Macaca mulatta: one gene and its partner. The protein of the gene in region 1 interacts with the protein of each later gene in a pairwise test. Links are inferred from orthologs where the notes say so. Each region holds a gene or a part of one and is shown in the gene's direction. Other genes may lie near its edges.

Evidence for each region.
Region 2: the proteins of MAP2K3 (region 1) and PDGFRA come close enough for resonance energy transfer, tested with the Homo sapiens proteins (2 studies listed by BioGRID). The link is inferred for Macaca mulatta from reciprocal best matches to the Homo sapiens genes MAP2K3 and PDGFRA.

Annotation. Positions count from the first base shown.
Region 1 is NC_133421.1:22,177,148-22,187,091, forward strand, and holds the start of MAP2K3 (dual specificity mitogen-activated protein kinase kinase 3), read left to right. Parts: upstream 1-4,049; 5' UTR 4,050-4,170; coding exon 4,171-4,219; intron 4,220-9,944. UniProt on the Homo sapiens protein: Dual specificity kinase. Is activated by cytokines and environmental stress in vivo. Catalyzes the concomitant phosphorylation of a threonine and a tyrosine residue in the MAP kinase p38.
Region 2 is NC_133410.1:79,261,001-79,270,997, reverse strand, and holds the start of PDGFRA (platelet-derived growth factor receptor alpha), read left to right. Parts: upstream 1-4,514; 5' UTR 4,515-4,684; intron 4,685-7,255; exon of another isoform or gene 7,256-7,453; intron 7,454-8,206; exon of another isoform or gene 8,207-8,709; intron 8,710-9,997. UniProt on the Homo sapiens protein: Tyrosine-protein kinase that acts as a cell-surface receptor for PDGFA, PDGFB and PDGFC and plays an essential role in the regulation of embryonic development, cell proliferation, survival and chemotaxis.

The DNA of each region.
Region 1 (9,944 bases):
ACCTCCCCAGGGAGCTGTGCCCATCTTGTTCAATGTTGTGTTCTCAGTGCCGGTCACACAAGTAAGTGCTCAACGAATACCTGTTGAATGAATGAAGGAGCTGCCCACATCCTGGGCTTGGGTCAGCCTCTCTCTCTTTCTCTCTTTTTTTCCCATCATCAATATTTATTGAGCATTTACAGTGTACTAGGCAAAATAGAACATACAGAAAACATTGTCCCTGCTCTTGAGGAGCTTACATTCTAAAAGAAAAAATACAGCTCTTTTTTTTTTTTTTTTTTGAGACGGAGTCTCGCTCTGTCGCCCAGGCTGGAGTGCAGTGGCCGGATCTCAGCTCACTGCAAGCTCCGCCTCCCGGGTTCATGCCATTCTCCTGCCTCAGCCTCCCGAGTAGCTGGGACTACAGGCGCCCGCCACCTCGCCCGGCTAGTTTTTTGTATTTTTTAGTAGAGACGGGGTTTCACCGTGTTAACCAGGATGGTCTCGATCTCCCGACCTCGTGATCCGCCCGTCTCGGCCTCCCAAAGTGCTGGGATTACAGGCTTGAGCCACCGCGCCCGGCCCAGCTCTTTTAAAATGGCATTTTTGTTTGGTATTTTCTGCAAAGCACCAAGGAAATATTTTGTAAAGTGAGCTTTGGGTATAACTTAGCCCCATCATTATTTAGAGAATAGAGGAAGAGGAAGGATTTTAAAGGCAGACAATGACAGACCATTCAGGATAGGTAGGGTTTTAAAGGGAGATAAACACAATGTCATCAACTAAGGAGAGATTTGCTGCAGTAAATAGGATGAGGGAAATAGTCTGTGGGGTGCAAGCAAAGGAAGCAGGGTGTCGTAGACATTGAGTGGAGCCAAAAAGATCATGCGGCCTTTTTCCAAGTATGTGGCCACCAAGTACGAATGGTTGGTGACAAGACAAAAGGCTAAAAAAGGAAGGTAATCTCGTGCACCTGACAAATAGAAAGACTAAAGGATCAAAATCGAAAGCAGGCTCTAAGAGTATCAAGAAATTCTTAAAAACCCAAAAGTGATTTGGAAGCACAAAACTTATAGTTAATGCTATTGAGTCAGCCTCTTTCTACAGCCTTCTGTCACCCCAGGTCCTGTCCACCTCAGATCATGCTTGCATCCTGACTTTGGCCACAATCCTTCCCATCCAGAGACTGAGTTTCCTGCATCCGCAGACAGCGGGTTTGGGACTTTTCTCCTAGGAGTCAAGGTAAGAGGCAGCCTCTTGTGACCCATGTCAAACATTTCTTCTGATTTCTGCATGGTCATGGAGTTCCCCAGCCTTACTGTGCCACTTACAGACAGAAAGAAATCAAGAGATGTCACTATAGCAAGCCGGCAAGAGACCTTTGTCTCTGATGGTCCTTGATCGTACTTCTTGAGCTGCAGCAATGCAGCTGTGCATCCCAGTCTGGCCCCTCACCCTGTCCTCATGTGTGGCCCTTTTTACATCTCCAACCCATCGCCTCTGCTGTTCCTTTCCAGCGATGCTCTTCTTGCCTCTCTGCCTGGCAAGCTCCTACTGGTCCTTAAAGTTCCAGTCTCAAAATCACCTCCTCTGAGAGGCCTTCCCTGACCGCACCCAGATGGAGATGCCTGCATCACCCAGGCACCCTACTGGGACTTTTGCACATGCATCTATTTATAGCACTCACATGGAGTTTTGTGATTCCTGGGCTGTTTATCGGGCTCCTGACTAATCTACAAACTGCTTGTTTGCAAGGGCCCGTCTGAGTCATCTGGCTGCCAAGGAGGTTGGCACGGGACTGGAGTCGCTTCACCCTGGTCTGTGGATGCTTTCCTCCTTCCTTTTTTCATTCCTCAAATATTTATCAGGCACCTACTATGTACCTGGTTCTGGGCTGTGTATTGGGAACACAGCAGGGAATGAGGCGCAGATGGTCTGGAGGGAGAGCTGTGTTAAAAACTGAGTCAGTGACAAAGGCATCAGCAGCATGAGTGTTGTGCCTCAGTTTGGGGACCTGGGAAGGGAAGGTCCCCAAACTGATGGGAAGGCTTCTTAGGCGTGTTCATTTAGGAGGCAGTCTGAGGGATGAGAGGGAACCAGCCCCAGGAGGCTTGAGTGGAGGAATGTTCTGGGTGGAAGCAGCAAGGGTGAAGCTCCTGCAGCAGGACCATCACTGGCACATTTGAGGGGCAACACTAAGACTCTTGAACATCCCAAGGAGCAGAGTGCACAAGGCAGAGTGTCGGGGAGCAGAAGTCAAGGCTGTTGGCCGGTGCCTGAATCCAGAAAACTTGCTGGACCAGCCTTTCAGTTCTGGTAGAAAGGAAACTGCTACTGGATGCCCATTTTATGGATGGATAAGCGCAGGTCACCAGGGATGATACGGCCAGGATGGAGGCAGCCAACAGTGTTTTTGAACTCACATTTCCCGGGCACTTAGTGAGGGCCAGGCCCTAGGCCAGGTGTTCCCACTCCTGAACTCATGAAATGCTTTCAGAGACCTTCTTGTCCCCATGGGATAGGTAAACTGAGGCACAGAGCTGCTCAGTGACTTCTTTAAGGACATCCAGCTAGTAAGTGGAGGAATTGGTATTGGAACTCACACCTGTCTGAGCCCCAGACTCATGATTTTCCATCCCACTGCCTGTGAACAGGAGACGCAGGAAGAGAATGGTGATGGCTGCAAGGCTTCCCTCCTATCTCATGTGGCCCTCCCCACTCTGTGTGCATGGGGCCCTGCATCACCCCCACTTTACACCTGGGCAAGCAGAGGTCAGGCCCGGCCTCAAGCGTTTCTAGCAGGTGGTGGAATCTGCTTCCCTCACGTGAGGTCCCTGACAGGGTACACACTCATGTCTGCCTGGAGGCCAGGGGCTGACCCCTTGACCTTTGCCTGGTACCTTCTGCCTTCACTAGCACTGACTTTACATCCAGAGTCATCTGATCCCAGCGCCAGATTGGTCAGCGGTTCCTGAAATCCCCCAAGGTTCCGTGTGGGAGCAAAGAGAGGACTGGTCCATCCAGCCATTATACAGATGGGCAGACTGAGATCTTAGGAGGAGAGGAGAGAACCAAGGTCCAGGAGAGAGCCAGGATGGGGCCTCCGGGCTCGTGGGATAAAATGCACCGCATGCTGCCTCACTCCCTCTGAGACAGTTTCCCCCGGTGTAGAACAGGGGCAGCAACAACCAGCCACGACAACTCCTCGTGTTGCCTCGTCACCGGGCATCGCTGAGCTCACCACCAACCCCGCGCCCTGGCCGGGCGCCTGGAGCGCGGGCGCGGGCGGACGTTTGCTGGCGCCGGGCCCTCAGTGCGTGTCAGCGAGCAGCGCCGTCAGACGGCTGTCACCGCCGCCCGCTCACAGATGCGTAGACTGAGGCTCAGGTGTCACGACCTGACCAAGGCTAGTTCCGCTACAAAGTTGCCGACTCGGATCTGAACCCGGGTCAAATTTACAGAAAAGGAAACTGAAGCCCAGAGACACCAGGGAGCTTGCTGGGGTGAGGCAGCTGCAGGTTCAGAGAGCCAGGAGGCAGCCCAGCAGCGCACTTTTAACCCCCGCCCGCCTCGCCAGGCCCAGCCGTGCCACCTTTAGGGATCTCGGGTTTTTTCCAGACGACGCACCCGGGAGAACGCGCCCACTCATCGCACCCGCCGGGGCTGCGCGTCTGGGGGTGCTGGGCGGAGCCTGGCGCTTGCAAGGAGCAGCGGGCTCAGTGGGTCCCGGGAGTGGGTGGGGCTTGCGTGTTGACGGGCAGCGCGAGGGGCGCGGCTTTAGTCCAGGTGGGCGGAGCCTGACCGGACTTGGGTTTTTCGGGCGGCTGGCAGACTTGACAGAGAGCGGGAGGGGCCCGGATCCTGGGCCCACGGAGGGTGGGGCGTGTAATTGACAGGCAGGGACAGACCGGCGTCTGATAGGCAGGGGACGGGCCTTGGAAACGAAAGGGCCAATCGGACACGCAGGGGCGGGGCCTGAGTCAGCGCCGTTCGGCCGGGGTCCCCCCGGCGCTGCCCAGTCTGGCTCCGGCGCCGCCCGTCGCGGACTCGTCCTTGCAGTAGTCGCCGCCGCCGCCTCTGCTCCTCCGCCTGGCCCGGGCCGTCTGCCCGCAGCCATGAGCGTGCTCGGCCCCGGTGGAGCCCGCAGTCCTCTAGATTAGTCCCCACCGCCGTCCAGGACCCGCTTGCAGCATGGAGTCGCCCGCCTCAAGCCAGCCCGCCAGCATGCCCCAGTCCAAAGGTAGGCGATCCCGGCCGGAACCTCGGCCTGACCCCGCGCCCAATCTGGGGCCGGGCTGCAAACCCCGACCGAATTTCTTTGGTCCCACCCCATCCTGTTCTCGACCTGGCAGCGGCGTCCGGTCCCGGAACCCCTTCCTGTTCGGGGCCCCGGGACCGGCCGCAGCCTGGGTCCTCACCTGGACCCCCAGGTTAGGCCTTGGGACTGCATTCAGGCCCGAGATCACCCAGGCTGGACCCAGACTAGGACTTTGTTCTGCTCACCCCATCCAAGTCAGGAGCCTCACTCTGACCTCATTTGGGCCTTATGGCTGTAGCCTGGACAGGAACTCTCTCAGTCTTCTCCCTCAGAGGGACCCAGGTGAGATTCACACTGGCCTCCATCTGCGTCCTTGGGCAGCACCCACTCCCATTTCCAACTTGGGGTCCCAGGGCTGTATCCAGGCTGGGATTTAACTTAAGTCTCCATCTGGGCCCCAGAGTGCTTCTGTTGTTTCGGACCTCACTGTACCCGCTATGCGGGTGCTCTGGCTACACCCCAGCTCGGAACTCCCCGTCCTTCTCTCCTCCAGCTCTTCTTATCCTTATAGGCCCTATGTTGCCCCTTCCCTGGCTGGCCTGCACCCTGTCCTGCAGCCCTGTGCTCCCAGGAACCTCCCTTGTCCTCCCACCCCTCCCTAAGGTACAGCCCCCTCTCTACTGGCTTCTCTCTGTCTTGAGTTGCAAGCTTCTCCCTGCACTTGGGGTTCTCACCCCATCTTATTCCTCTCCTGGCTGCCTGGGATCTGGGCCAACCGCCAGGCCAGGGTGCTGGCTGTGCAAGGGATTTGCTCTTCTCCAAGTAGCTGGCCTTCCTGGAAATTTTTGTGAGGTGGCAGCAGCAGCAGGATTTGTCATGCGGAGGGGGAAGGATGAGACTCGGAGGGCAAAAGGGGAATTTTTTTTTCAGGAAGAGGAAAGGATGTTTTTGGTGCGTCGGAGTTTCAGTAGGCTGGGTTGTGTGAGAGATTTCCAAACCGGACGTAGCCGTAATGAATGGGCTGCCTCCTGCCTAGCTGAACCTGCAGCTGCTTCACCCCAGCAAGCTCCCTGGTGTCTCTGGGCCTCAGTTTCCTTTTCTGTAAATTGGAAGTAATCACACCTGCTTCTGTGGACGCGGGAGTGTGGCGTGGGGTGGTGAATACAAAAGAGCTCTGAGGTGTTCACTCAGCATAGCGCCTGGCGGAGAGCCGGCGCTCACCAGGGGACACTGGCTGCACACATCTCGCTATTGTTTCCATTCTTCTTGCTGGAAAGGCCTCCACTGCTGGAACTGCAGCCGCAGAGTGAGCAGGAGGAAGCATCTAGCAGCGGGCACCTAGTGGGCCCCTCATCGGGGATCAGCCGCTCTTCTGCTCTGGAGGGCGCAGGCCAGTGGGAGCCCTGTGGGGGCTTGGGGAGGGCACGGGCTCTTCCTGGCCCCTGCTGCTGGCTGCTGTGGTGGCTGGAGCCGGGTGGGCAGGATAATTATGCCTTACATAAGTGGGAGGCCGGATCCCTGACCATTGCCCAACCACTGTGAGTAACTCAGGAGGCACTTGAGGGGGGAGGTGTCTGGGGAGGGACTTGCACTGCCCAGACCTCGTGGAGCTTGGGAACCAGGAAATCAGACACTTCTCCACTCTGGAGAGCCTGGGGAAGGGTAGGAAGCCCTGTTTGTTTTGGAGGCTTTTTAGCTCTCCAGGCAGAGAATGCCTGATCAAAATAAAAGTTCCAGTTGCAGAGTTGTGAAGGGAGAGGGGTCATAGATGTGGTAAGAACGCTGTGAGAGGGCCAAGATGAACTTCTAGATAGGGACCCAGGTCGCAGATGAAATTGAGGGAGCTGGATGGAGGGTCAGGGACCTCCCTCAGGCCCAGCGACCCTGTAGTCTCTTTGGGATCTGGGGAAGGATGTGGTGACAGAGCCGCAATGCCCTTCACCAAAAACCCTATGAGCTTCTTCTTTTTTTCCATGTGCCATGCATTTTCTCATTTATTCCTCATAGCCTCATTTATAGATAAGGAAACTGAGGCGTTAAGTGCCTTGCCTGAGGCCACGCAGCTGTGACAGGCGGAGCTAGGGTTCCCCCTAGGACTGCATCCCCACAGTGGCCTTCCCCGTGCTCCCTTATGTGCCCCTCCCATGCTGGATGCCTGAGCTGAGCTGGTGGGGTGCCCCCACCCCTGGCCTTGCTCAGAGCATGTGCAGTGGGCCTGTCCTCATGGCCATGTCAGACCTAGAGGACAGACTGAGGCAGAGGTGCTGCTGCTCTTGTGCACAGTGCTTTACACTGGGCCTGTTGCATACTTGCTGCAAAATCCCACTCATTTGACAGATGCAGAACTGAGCTTGGATGGAGTAGCCGGACTGCTCCCACAGGTGGAGATCCTCACCCCGTGCCTGCCCCATCCTGGGCACTGGGCCTCCCAGCACTGAGCCCTTCTCCACCTTCTCAAAGGAATTTGAACAAAGCAGGGAGTGGCTGGCGCTTGACCTTACTGGAGCTTTACCTTTGAGCTTCCTGCCTTGCAGCAGGTACCCTGCCCTATCCTTCCTGCCATGGGCCTGGGGAGTTTTCCGTGAGCGTGTGAGGCCCTCAGGCCCACAGCTCTGTTGGTTTTCCCCTGGCCTTCTTGCCCACATGGCCATCTCTGGCTGGGATCAGAGGCCAAGTGGCCGGCGCTGGGGCCAGTGGGTGGGGGCATGTGTGCAAGCCACATTTGTCCTTGGAGGGTACCATGTGTGTCCTGTTGTCATTCAGAACGTGGGTTCTGCCCCTTCTGCCCTAAGAGTGCCACCTGTGGGGGCACTTCATGGCTAATCTTCACACAGCTTGGACTGTGGCTGTAGGACTCCTGACTGCCCAGTGGGGTCACTGAGGTTTCATGGAGCACTGTCGTATCCTAGCCCTGCCTATTGTGGCCATCCCCCATCCCCCGGCTGTCGGAAAGACTGGAGGTGGCACCTCGGGGACTTCCCCCACCCCTCTTGTGACGCACAGGAAACTCTCTGTCAGCCAACCCATGGCCCAGGGCCCAAAGGGAGCAAAGTTCTCAGTTGGCCTGTGTGAGGAGAAGGCCGGGGCAGCGGAGGCTTCCGGCGGTGAGTCAGCGGGCACTGAGTGCTGACTCACCTGCTGGGCATGCCAGCCGGCTGCCTACAGCTTAAAGGGGCGATGCCTGCTGGCCTGGTGGGTGGGGAGGGGGTTACGTGTCCTGCAGGTGGCACCTAGCCCTGAGCTGGAGCACTGGAGGTGGCCCCTTCCTGCGCCTCGGACTAGGCTGGGAACCCCTGGGCAGGCCCTCTGTGCCCCACCCAGGAACTTCCTCTGTTAGGCAAGGGGCTCTGCTTCCTCTTGCTCACAGAGCAGGAGCAGGTGGCGGTGACTGTTTACTACCCTTGGTCCAGGGGACACCTCAGGTTCAGCTGTGCATCTGGGACTCAGGGAGGGCGAGGAGCAGAGGTTGTGCAGGGTCGGCTGGGGTGGGACCCGACCTGAGCTCCTGGAAGATGGTGATGTGGAGAGGCTGAGACCTCAGTTTCCAGAGCCTGACTGCCTGGGTTCATACCCCAGCTCTGTCCCTTTTGCGATGTGACGTGGCACAAGTTGCATCCGGTCCACTCTCTGCACTCCGTAAAAGATTTCTGTCCCCTGGGCATGGCCCAGCTCTCAGAGGAGAAGCCTCCATTTCATCATCTGCAGACTGGGAACGGGGACCCTGCCTGTCTGGATGTAGACAGTTCCATTCCACACTTGCTAAGTGTCAGGCACGAGTCATAGTGAGACTGCCCTCTGCCCACAGAGAACCCAGCCGAGGCACGCTTCTGCCAGGCAGGAAGCCTGGGGGCCTGGGCTCTGCTGGGAGGGGCCTGGGTTCGAATCCTGGCTCCACTACTTCCTTACCTGGGTAAGTCTTGTGCCCTCTCTAGCCCTCAGTCTCCTCTTCTGTAAAGTGGGAGTAAACACCCTTCCTTGCAGGGTAGTGGTCGAGCTTGAAGATAGCATTTGGCAAGTGAATGGCATCTGTTATTATTTTATTATTGTTACTTTTGTGAGCGTAGTTCGTTGGTAGGTGGATAAACAGTAACAGGGCTTCGTGGCGATGGGCTCGTAGGTGCTGTGACGCGAGGCCTCTTGGCAGCAGGGTCCTTTCATGCAGGCCAGAGTTTACCAGGCTTTAGGGCCTTTTAACCCACTGGTCCCCAAGGTGGGGGCTGGGGATTGCCACTGGCCTCCTGGGCCTTCCTGGGGAGGGCAAGTGGGGAACAGAGAGCTGCCCTGCCCCAGGCTTTGGCATGCAGCATGAACAGGATGGATGCAGGGAAGGTGGGGTGGGGCCTGGAATCAGGACGCAGGCCCCTGGGCCAGCCTGGGAAGCAGGAGGGCCTGGGATTGTGGTTCTGGGGGCTCGGTCCTGAGTCAGGGGTGTTGGTGGCTTAGGAGGGGTCCCAGAGGAGGGCTGCCGGGCCGTAGCGTGGAGGACACCGCATCGTGGCAGGGCCCCACGACTGATGCCCACATGCCGCCCATGCCTGCCCTTGGCCGTGCCTCCTGGCGCTGCCCACCTCCGTCAGGCCTGTCTGCCCAGTGGCTTCTGCAGATGCCTCCCCAAAGCAGTGGCCCTGGAAACCTCAAACAGCCTCATGTCAAGGGCATGAAGGCCATATAGGGCCGGGGGAGGCCGAAGCAGCTTGCTGGGCCCCTTGCAGCTTCCAGATACCAAATCTGACTGCAGCAGCTCCAGAGAGGGCCCCAGGCGTTCTTCCCCTGACCCCAGTCCTGGGCGCATGTCCCTGTCACCTCCCTGCCCTGCATTCCAGGACCACCCTCCCTGGTTTCTCTGGGGAGGCCATGTCCAGCTGACCCTCTCCCAGCTGGTCCCCTGCCCAGGGTGGCCGGCACCACCTTCTGCCATGCGGCCCATGGCCGGGATTGCACCTGGCTCTGCTGACGCCTCCTGGTGGCTGTATGGAGTGCCCTGACTGTCCTCTCCTGCATCACTGTGCTGATGCCCCCAGGGGCTTCCAAGGCCTGTCCCAAGGTTTGCATGTGCCAGTGTGTGCGGTGATGCGATGACAGGCCGGGGGCCTGCCTCACTGGGGCAGGGCTGCGAAGGGCTGTGGATGCCAGCGGTGCATTCAGACCTAATCAGGAGGTGTGTGGGGGGTGGGGAGCACTGCTGCCTGGGAGGGTTGCTTTGGTGGTGTCAATTGGCAGCTGAGGCACACATGGGAGGCCTGCCCAGGACGGCTCTGGGTATGGGGATGGAGACAGCTCCCATCCTCTTGCCATTCTGCTCTCACCTGGCTTAGCCTTCTGGTCAACCCCACAGCCTCCTGCCGTTGGCATGGCACACTGCATCCCGGATGGCTGGGGCAGTCCCCAGGGTGGTGTGGGCAGACACTCGTTGGGCAAGTCTGCAGGGACTTCCAGGTGGCAGGGCTGGTTCTAGGCCAGCTCCGCCCTGACCCCTGTTGTGACCTTCCCCAGCCTTAGTGTCTGCTGAAGACACGAGTGAATCACACCTACCTCTCAGGGCTGCTGTCGAGGGTGAGTGAGACCCGGCAAGTCCCGGGAGCCCCTAGGTGCTAATCAGCGCTGAATTTGAAGCTGATGTCTGTGCTAGCATTTCCATCACCAAGATCCCCGTTTTTGATATCTCTCATCATCAACCCCATGCTTTGTAAGATTTTGTTAGAAATGA
Region 2 (9,997 bases), on another chromosome or scaffold:
GCATATGAACCACTAGGACAACCCTATAGGTTGTGCATGATTATTCCAATTGTTGTCATTGCTGTTATTTTAAATAAAGATGGGGGCTCACTATGTTGCCCAGGCTGGTCTTAAACTCCTGGGCTCAGGTGATCCTCCCACCTTGGCCTCCTAAAGTGTTAGGGTTACAGTCGTGAGCCACCTTGCCTGGTCAATTATCCCCCTTTTAATGGATGCGCAAAGAGTCGAGGTTCCACTGGTTTTCCACTGCAGTGTCTCTGCTGAAGACTTAAAAATAATAAATAATAATAATAATAAAAAAAATCACAGAGCTGTGCTGGACTGCTGGGACTTCCAGAGGACAAGGCCCTCTCTTCAGTGAGGCTGATCTCCACAGAGCCAGCCCTCCTTCCCCTCCCAGCCACAGCTGTGTGTTGGAAAGCTGGAGGCCTGGGCCCCTAATAAAGAGCAGACCTCCCAATCTCCTCGTTCCCTCCCCCTCCCCTCACATGGTTTTTCAAATTAAAAGCAACTAAAAGGAAAGACCTAAGGAGCAGGAGAGGGCGGAGGCACAACAACATGTTTAAACCGAGGAAGGGGGCTCTCTCGCGAGGGAAGGGGTATCCAAAAGCCAGATCCAGAGGGTTCCAGTCCTACCAGTCTGTCCCAGCCTCTAAGGAGTGTATGGCCCACCGGGCTGGACTGGACCAGGAAACAAGTTCTTGTCCTCAGGTCCGTAAACAAGCTGTGGTGTTAGGAACCCTCTGCTTCTACTTCTCCTTGGAGAGCGAGCCCCTCAAACCCAGAAGAGAGGCTGCACCTTGAGATCCAGCCAACAACCACAGAGAAGAGGAGGTGGGTGCGGAGTCCTGGGGAGGGTAACTTTCACCTCAAGCTGCACAGACCCATCTCGATCTTTTTGTAGAATTCCTCCTTTTTCAAGACTTGTGCCGTTCTGAATTCTGAGCGTGCAAAGAGACTCCTTAGAGCTAGCTTACAAGCCTCAGCTGGGGCAGACCCGAGGCCAGGGCGTCCCTCTCTCTGCGAGGATCCCTCACATCTGTGCGTCGCCTCCACTACCTCCGGGCAAAGGACCCTTCCGCGCTGGACCCAGGGAGGGGGCTATTCCAGATGCAGCCAAGGGTTAAAGGGGGTGAGGGAAGGAGCAGTTCGCACCATTTTCTTTTGCAAACCACCAAACGGGCCCTTCGTTTTCAAACTGTGAAGCCAGAAACATCCTCTGTTCCCTTGCCCCGCCCATCACCATTTGAAAAAAATAATTCACAAGTTTAAACGTGATTTTCACAACTAACGGCTTTGATAACTGTTACATTCGTAAGGCTTCTAGAGCAAACGGACTTGAATTCTTCGAGGAAAGTACAATTGGGGGTGGGGCTGGAGAGCAGTGGAGGAGAAGACACAAAAAGCCAACTCAGCGGGAAGCGCCCTCAAAGCCAAAGGTGTGGCCCTCGGAGCTGCGGCCGCCCTCGCCCGGGAGTTGGGGCCGGGAGAACGGGCCCTGGAGGCAGGGCAAGGCACGGCGAGATTTTGCTTTTGTTTATAGTGACCGTTTTGATCTGGTTGTAAAAAGTTTACGAGGCCCTCTTTTTGAAGGTGAGCTCATCGACTGCACCTTTTTATGCCCTTGCTCCCAATTTCATGTCGCCTGCTGGCGTAGATGCGCAAGGCCGAGGACAGAACTGTCACAGTCCCTACCCTTTTCTCCTAACTTCCCGGCCCGGCTCAATTCGGGAGTTGAGCCTCCTTCCTCTCCGCACGCAGCCTCCCCGACTCCCCGTTTGGGGAGAAAACCCACATTCTTAACCCCTTGATAATCCCTTAAGGAAAAAACAAAACAAAAAACCCCAAGAGGCTGAAAATTAGAATCCGGGCGCGGGTTGAGATCTGCGCAGAGCTGCCCAGGCCGGTGCAGGTCGCTCCTCTCCGGGTACACGTGATGGCCTGGTACCCTCCTCCCACCTCCCGCACGGCGCCCAGTCAGAAGCACAGGAAGGGGAGAAAAGACCCGCAGCCCGCCTCAGGAGGGCAAGCTTTCTGGCCCCCTGCGGTTCCGGGGCCATCCCGGACCCAGGGCGTCGAGGGACCAATCTGGAAGGATCTTAGAACAAACACTGGGAGAACGCGGCAAGAACTCGCCCCGCCTTCACCCGACGCTCCGGACTGACTGCCGGGCGCAGACCCGACTTCTCCCGAACCAGCCTCGTACCAGCCTTAGAAGGCGGAAAACAGGATTCAAACCCGCCTATGAGCAGTGGTAGGGGCGGGGGCTGTAGGGGCAGGACTCGGTTTAAGGAACCAACCGCCTCGGTTCGAGGGTCTCCTGTCCGGAGGTTGCTCCTGACCACTGGGTTTATTTTGTTTTGCAGAGGAGGCAGATGTTGACCTCTCTTCTTTGCACAGTCTCTCCGCGAAATCTTCCCCCAACCATTTGCTTTCTTGCGCCACCCCCCACCGGGGCACTATCCCCGGAGTCAGCTCCTCAGGCCTTTAAACCTTCCAGAATGTCACACATGGAAACCTTTAACAAATGTTTGTTAATGGTCATAACAAAGGCATCATTCAAATTAGGCAGGTAATTACTACCAGAAGGACAACTGGGTGCTCGCTTGCTCATCCATTGCTTTCTGCTTTAAACTCCTGAGGAGTCGCTGCCTGGAGCCACTCCCGCCCGGGCTGCTTTTCGGGCCCCATTAAACTGCTCTGAAATGAACTGTGAAGTTACCATTTGTGGGCGGAGAGCGCTGGGGCCCTGCGGACGGAAGACCCTGGCTTGACCGGGCTAGCAGTGTCGCCGAAACAAAGCAGTCCTTCTGGGTAGGCTCTCTGTCTCGCGTCCTACCCTCTGGGGCAACTCGCCTAAAAACCCAGTTCTCAACTTAACAGCAAGAAGCCCAGCAGCCGCGTTTGCCTTTTATTCCGCACTCTGATTTTTGGGGGGAATCGTTTGTCCCGCTCATTTTCTACAAACATTACGGTATCCTGTTAGCATTCCGAACAAGGGGCTGTTCATATATTTGCCTTCAATGATTTCCTGAAGGAACATGTGGAAGTAATAGCGAGCTGTGCAGTCACCCGAGCTGAAGATGCACGAGAGCAGGTCGCGTAGAAGAGCTGGGGCAATGGGGCCCCCAGCGCAGCCCCAGGCGCCCTATTTCCGAGGCTGATACCCCAAGATCCTGTCCTAATTAGACACAGCACCGCGCCCGTTGGAGTACTTCTCTGTGACTCTCCTCTGTCCACTGCACTGTGTCCACTCCTGGTGAAGGAGGAGACGGCTGTTGGACGTGCCAGTCCCAACCTGGCCACCTTGGCCATTTTCAGAGTGCTTGTGTGGGGGTGGGGTTGAGGGAGAAGGATGAAGGATGACCCCCAACCCCAACAAGAGAATTCAAAAATCAGAGAGCGAGAAAGGTGAACGCGCTCCCATCCCCCGCTGTCGCTGGGAAGCCCCACTCTGCCCAGGTCTGGTTTCTGGAGCATCAGCGCCCCCTTTCCCTCGCCGGCAGGATCGTTTCCTCCCGACACTGGCCTCGCGCCTTGGGCGCAGGGTTTGGGGCTCAGCTGTCAACTCCGAAGCATTCGTAGGGTTCGACCCACTCGGCGGGAGGGAACGGAGGGAGAATCAAAAGGCACCCTCTCCCACGATGCGGAGGCGGCGGGACGATTCCCCAAACGCCCAAGCTTGAACTTTTTTGTATGCGAGTTAGAAGCCAGGGCAACCTCGCCCAGATAACCCCCAAAACAAAGGCACGACCAGATAAGTGACTTAAAGGGAGTAAAGGTCGTTCTATCGGAGAATGTTCCAAACCTACACAGACCCTCTTTTCTTTGTACCCTATTTCAGACTCCACCCAGTCTTGCACACACACACACACACACACCCACCCCACACACAAAACAAAAACTCATCGTTGTCATATTGGACTCAACAGTTTGCCTAATCCCGTTAAAGAACTAGCAACTATATAGCCCTTAGCCCTTCCCCTAAAAGACCCTTAGTTCAAAACCGCGCAACCGCTTGGAGATTTCTCCCGAGGGCCCTATTTCTAGTTGGGCCGAGTTTGTAGAAGGGACGTTTCTTGATTCTAGATTTATATTCTCTCTGGGTATTAAATGCAATTTTGTATGTTCCTTTTCTTGTTTTCAAAGAGAACACAAAACTATAGCAGTCTAAGAAAATAACCCCAAAATGGGGAGGCAAACTCATTCTGGAAATGATGGGCTGTTTGTAGTTTCACAAAACCGCTTTCCCGGCAGAGCACCAACACCTCCCCCTTCCACCCCCCCATCCCATCTGGTCGGCTTCTCCCCGCCCCCCCAGTTGTTGTCGAAGTCTGGGGGTTGGGACTGGACCCCCTGATTGCGTAAGAGCAAAAAGCGAAGGCGCAATCTGGAGACTGGGAGCTTCAGAGCGCAGGGGAGTTTGAGCGAAACTTTTATTTTGAAGAGACCAAGGTTCGGGGGGGGGCTTATTTCCTGACAGCTATTTACTTAGAGCAAATGATTAGTTTTAGAAGGATGGACTATAACATTGAATCAATTACAAAACGCGGTTTTTGAGCCCGTTACTGTTGGAGCTACAGGGAGAGAAACAGAGGAGGAGACTACAACAGATCATTGGAGGCCGTGGACACACTCTTTACTCCATGTGTGGGACATTCATTGCGGAATAACATAGGAGAAGGTAAGGAAGAAGAAAAAATGATTTTTTGTTTATAAGAGAAGTCCCTGATCAGACTCTGGGACTGGAGAAAGGGAAGTAACTTCAAACTTTGGGCGACAAGAAAAAAAAATGGAGCTGGATTCCAAATGTGTGTCCAGAGAGGAATTTTTTTTTTTTTTTCGGAATAAACTTCACTTGGGGATGGGTGGGAGATAACCATAGAATTAGAAAGTCTAGGGATTTTTTTTTAAACACACATTTTCCAGACCTATTTTTAAAAAACAATGTTTTTCTAACAACCCTATGGCCTCCCAAAGAAATTGTTTAGGCTTACATTTTTGAGGTTTCTTTTGGGAGTGGGGGTGGTGTTCATGAATACTGGGCCGAACACCAAGGAACTGGGGGTGGAGGCAGAGGTGTTTGCCCTCTTCTTGGCAGTGGGTCCTGGAAGGCGACAGGTTTTAAATGAGTGTTTTCATTCCTCGCCTGCGGTTTGGCGGGACAGCGCTGCAGCCCGTGGTGTGGAGCGCGGCTGGGGGACCAGGGGAGGTGGGGAGAGGGGAGCGCGGAGGGGGGCGCGGGAAGGGGTTGCTGGTCGCAGGAGGCGGGCAGGGCTCGGCTGGAGACCGGACCTCCGTGCTGGCCTGCAGCACATGGAGCCGGTCGAATGCGCGTAATTACTGGACGGCGCTGCTCTGGGTGAGAGTCCGGGCCAGATTTGGCGCAGCGGTGACGCGGCTGCGGGACAAGCAGAGGGGCGCGGGCGTGGGCAAGGGTTTGGGGCGCTCTGGAGGGGTTTGTCGGGTCAGTGAGGTGCTAGGGAGAGCGGGTGCCTGCTCGGCTGTACGCTCGGGTTGCACGCCCTAGCGCGGGGGCGACAGCGGCGGCGCGGGCGGGCGGTCTGGAATAATGACAAACACATTTGGCCCTGAGTGAAGAAGTCGATGTCGCCTCGCATTCCAGCAACTGGGATTTGAGGAATTTCGAACCGCACACCAAGGGGTCCTCATTGTGCGCCGTGGCCCCCGCCCCCGCCCGTCTCCCTGCGCCCCCTCCTCGGTGGAACCGTTTCTGCATTGCCCGGGGCTCTGCTGCCGCTCAGTTCTGGCCTCAGGCAGGAAGAGAGGAAAGGTCTCCAGGAAAGTGTCGAACTTCTTGTAAGTTAGGGACCACTTGGAACTGGGGAAATTTGTTTGCAGGTAAGAGAAAGGTGGGAGGTAAACCACATTCTCCCTCCGGGCAACTGAGCCCTGGGCACCCCCTACCCGGCGCCCCTCTCCGCGCGGGGGTGCACGGCACTTGCCGTCTGCGCTCGCCCAGCGCTGCTCGGTCCTCTCTAGTCGCCCTTTTTCTCCATTCTTCTCCCTGCCGGGTTCAGAGCCGTCTGTGCGTACTTCTCCTTCCTCTGCTGTCTACCCCCATGGAAACAAGGTTTATACACGATTAGCTCCGCCCGGCTGCGTCCGGGGAGCGGGCTGCGTCCGTTTGACTCTGAATATGTGGGATCAGCTGTTCTATTCCGAGAGGGTGACGGCCAGTTCGGAGCGACAAGGAGTGTGGCCCGACCCCAGTCCGGTTGCGGGAGGAAGCCAGGAGCCGGGGCCGGGCCAGGTGTGCGGGAACTGTCGGTGACCTGGCCTCGAGTCTTGGTCGGGAGGGACTTGCTGCCCAGGCCGGCTGTCCGTTGTGCATCCCTCCTGCAGCCAGAGGGCCGGTCCCGCACTTCGCTCCCCCAGTTCTGCTAAGACCTCAGGATGTGCGCAAAGAGTGCCTGGAAGAACTTGCCACTCACTCCATCTCCCTGGGTGGGAGGCAAGCATGGATGGGACCCCTATCAGGTCCCGACCGCCCCACGTCCGAAAAGCCCCGGGCTGGGCGGTGTGGGAAATGGCTTTTTGGCTCCGAGGCCGAATTGCTCAATGTTTTGGACCGACTCGCCTCGCCGCGGTCGCTCCTGACCAGAACTAGACAGATTTTTGGAGCAGGGAGAGGCATCCAGGGCAAACGAGGCACGACAATCCTCCGCAGTGCATCTCACCCAACAAACATCCCGCAGCCACAGAAGGGGAGGAAGGGGTCCCGGGCGTGCGCACCTCACCAGCCGCCGCGCTGTCCCACCCCCGACCCCTAATCTGGTCAATCTGGACCCCCGCACTGCCGAATTGCATCCCCTCCCTCTTCTCCCTCTCTCCTCGGCCTCCTCCTTTCCACAATCCTCACTATGAGGAGGCCCTGCCTCGCCTTCCCGACAGGCGCGAGGCCGAGCAGCCTCGCTTTGACGCACAGGTCAGGCCCTACTTCGGAGCTTGCACAGTTTTGGGTTGAGCCAAGTGCAGCTGGACCTCGTTCACAAGAGTGAGGAGGAACGAGAGTGGGGGGACGCCAAGAATGAACCCGTCGTTAGCCCCCGGTGCCCTGGCTCTTGTTTAAATCCGTAGATCGAGAGGGACTTGAAGGAGAGCCCAGGCTCCCAGCTCTCCGCCCCTGGGCCAGTTTCCTCTCGGGACGCGGACTGAGGAGGGATGCAGGGGGAGGGGCATTGGGCTGGGCTTTCCAGCTGCAAACACGTCTGGCGCCGAGGCGGGCCCATTTTGTGCCTCCTGGGGACAGACCGTGGGCGGCGCGCAGCGGCAGGACGCATTTTGGGGACGTGGTGGCCAGCGCCTTCCTGCAGACCCCGCAGGGAAGGACTCCCTCTGACCTCCGGGGAGCTGCGACCAGGTTATACGTTGCTGGTGGAAAAGTGGCAATTCTAGGAAAAGAGCTAAAAGCCTGATCAGTGACCGAAAGGTGTGGGTCTCAGGGTCCCCCTGGTCTAACTCGCCGGGTCCACCGCAGCATCAGCCTTGGGGCGGCAGATAATCTTTCGGTCTCGCCTGGGGCGCAAGATACAGGATCGGGGCAAATGGCATCTCCCAACTTCGCCCTAGTTCAGTTTCTGCCAGATGGTTGTCGTTTGCTGAAGTGGCTCGGCGGCATTTCCTTTTGTTTTAAACTGATCAGTGAGCGAACCCGGGATGGGCTGAAAAAGTAGATTGTAGGAGGGAATAATGGGAACCCCGACTTGGGGCGCCTCCTTCCCTGCCTCCTGCTGCAGTTTCTTGGCCCCCGCGAAAGGGTAGCTACAAGCGCGGGTGGGCGCGGACTTGTCAGGGGGCAGAGGCGGCTAAGGCGCGTGTCGGGCAAGCTGGCACCAGAGGGCACTTTTTTTTTTTTGGACAGAGTCTCACTCTGTCGCCCAGGCTGGAGTGCAGTGGTGCGATCTCGGCTCACTGCAACCTCCGCCTCCCGGGTTCAAGCGATTCTCCTGCCTCAGCCTCCCAAGTAACTGGGATTACAGGTGCCCGCCACCACGCCAGGCTAATTTTTGTATTTTTAGTAGAGACGGTATCACCATGTTGGCCAGGCTGGTGTCGAACTCCTGACCTCAGGTGATCCGCCCACCTCAGCCTCCCAAAGTGTTGGGATTACAGGCGTGAGCCACCGCGCCGGGCCAGGAACAGTTCTTAAATGCCGAGAGGGCGCAGGCTAGCTCTCTCCAGCATTCCATGTGAGCCGCTACCCACTGCCGGGCGGCTCTCGTGCCCATAGGAGGCGCTGGCGAGCGCCTGTAACCCTAAACCCCTCGGCCCCTTTTCCCCCACCCGCCCGGCCTCTCTTCCCGCTCTCCCCCCTCTCCCCACACCCTGCCCGGCCCCCTCTCGGGTCTCAGTTGAAAACAATGCAAACGCCGAGCTTTGTGCCTGGGGCGCGGCGGCCTTTGCAGCTCTGAGGTACAGAGTGCGGCGCGCACGGACGCAGGTCCCGGGAGCGGCTGGGCATCGCCACCAACCCCAGGACAACCGAGCCGCCGAGGGCGTGGTGGAGGCGGGAGGGCGAGCCGACCGCGCAGTGTTCCTCTGGATCCCGGGGTCAGAAACCGGACGGTGGCTGGGGCTGGACTGTCCGAGCGCAGAGCCTCCCGGGTGAAGTCTGCGCGCAGCACTCCCGGCAGCGCTGTCGGGGACCAGGAGCCTGTGCTGTGGGCTAGCGGGCCGGCGAGCCGGGTAAGATTCGCGGGGCTGTCGCGCCCTCTAGTGGGCTCTGGGGGCGCATCCCGCTTTCCCCAGCCCCGGGCGGTCGGCGCCCGGATCTCAGTGGAGCGCGGCGCTGGAACCCCGGGGGCCCGGAGCGGAGGCTAACCTGGGTCACCTTTCCTTTCCTCCGGGCCGCCAGTGGACGCCTCGCAGGCTCTGTGTGGGCCCAGAAAGCGCCGGGTGGACGAGAGGGGGCCGAGGTCGCTGGGTTTGGATTGAGAATGGAGCGTCCTTTTAGTTCAATGTGGGAGAAGCAGGGGAGGATGGAGGAGGATGGGTCCCGTGCGTTCTCGGGGGACAGGCGCCGTCTTCTGCGTTCCAGCCCCTCGCCAGCTCCCTTTCCCCTCGGGCGGCCTGTTGCTGTTTGTTTGTTATACGACCCTGCGTTATTGTGCAACGGGAACAGTCGTTTCTAATGCGCCCGCGGTTCCCGGGCTGCGCGGCCGTCGCGGCCTTCGCCAGGCTGGTTTATGAGGGGCAGTGGTGTCGCGCGGACAGATAGGGCAGCGCAGCCCGGGAACGGCGTCGCGGCCAAGGCGGTCCCCCGCCCCGAGGGGGCGGAAATGCTGAGGTGTCGAGAGCGTGGGTTTTACAGAACCCGAGTAGCGAGTCCGGCTGAGTCTCTGCGGCCTGGCCCGGCAGCGTCGTCTTCCCGGCTCCTGAAGCCCCGCTGTCCCAGCGCACCCGCTCCCAGTGATGGGGATGGTGATGGGGACGATGGGGAGATGTCCGCCTACCCCGAATTCTTCTGGGGTCCCGAGGAGATTTAGCCATTTTCAACAGCAGTTTTCGTATTTCTGCTCAAACCCCGCGGGCTTTCAACCGAGGTCGCCACGAAAGCTAAAAGTACAGCCTAAGGAAGGGGGAGACTGGAAGTTAAGATTTGGGATAGTGGAGCTCAGAATTCCTGGCAGACGCGTCTGTGTCGCAACCCCTGGACGCACGTCCTTCGACCAACACTGCCATCTGCTGGCCACTGGCAAGAACTACCGCGATCCGCTGTGAGAATGGGCTTTGCGGAGACTCCAAGCTAGTACTGGCATTAGGAGGTGCTTTTTTTTGATTGATTGATTGATTGATTGATTGATTTTTTGCTCTGTAGGACCGTAATACGTGACTGATTTTCTTTTCCTGTGAGGCTACAAGAATTGCTGGAAGACAGCATTTTTATTTCGTGGAAATTTGTGTTGTGTTTCGCCTTGGTTATTAATGCTTTGCATTTACATAGTGAACATATTATCAGAGCAGGCCTGTGAGG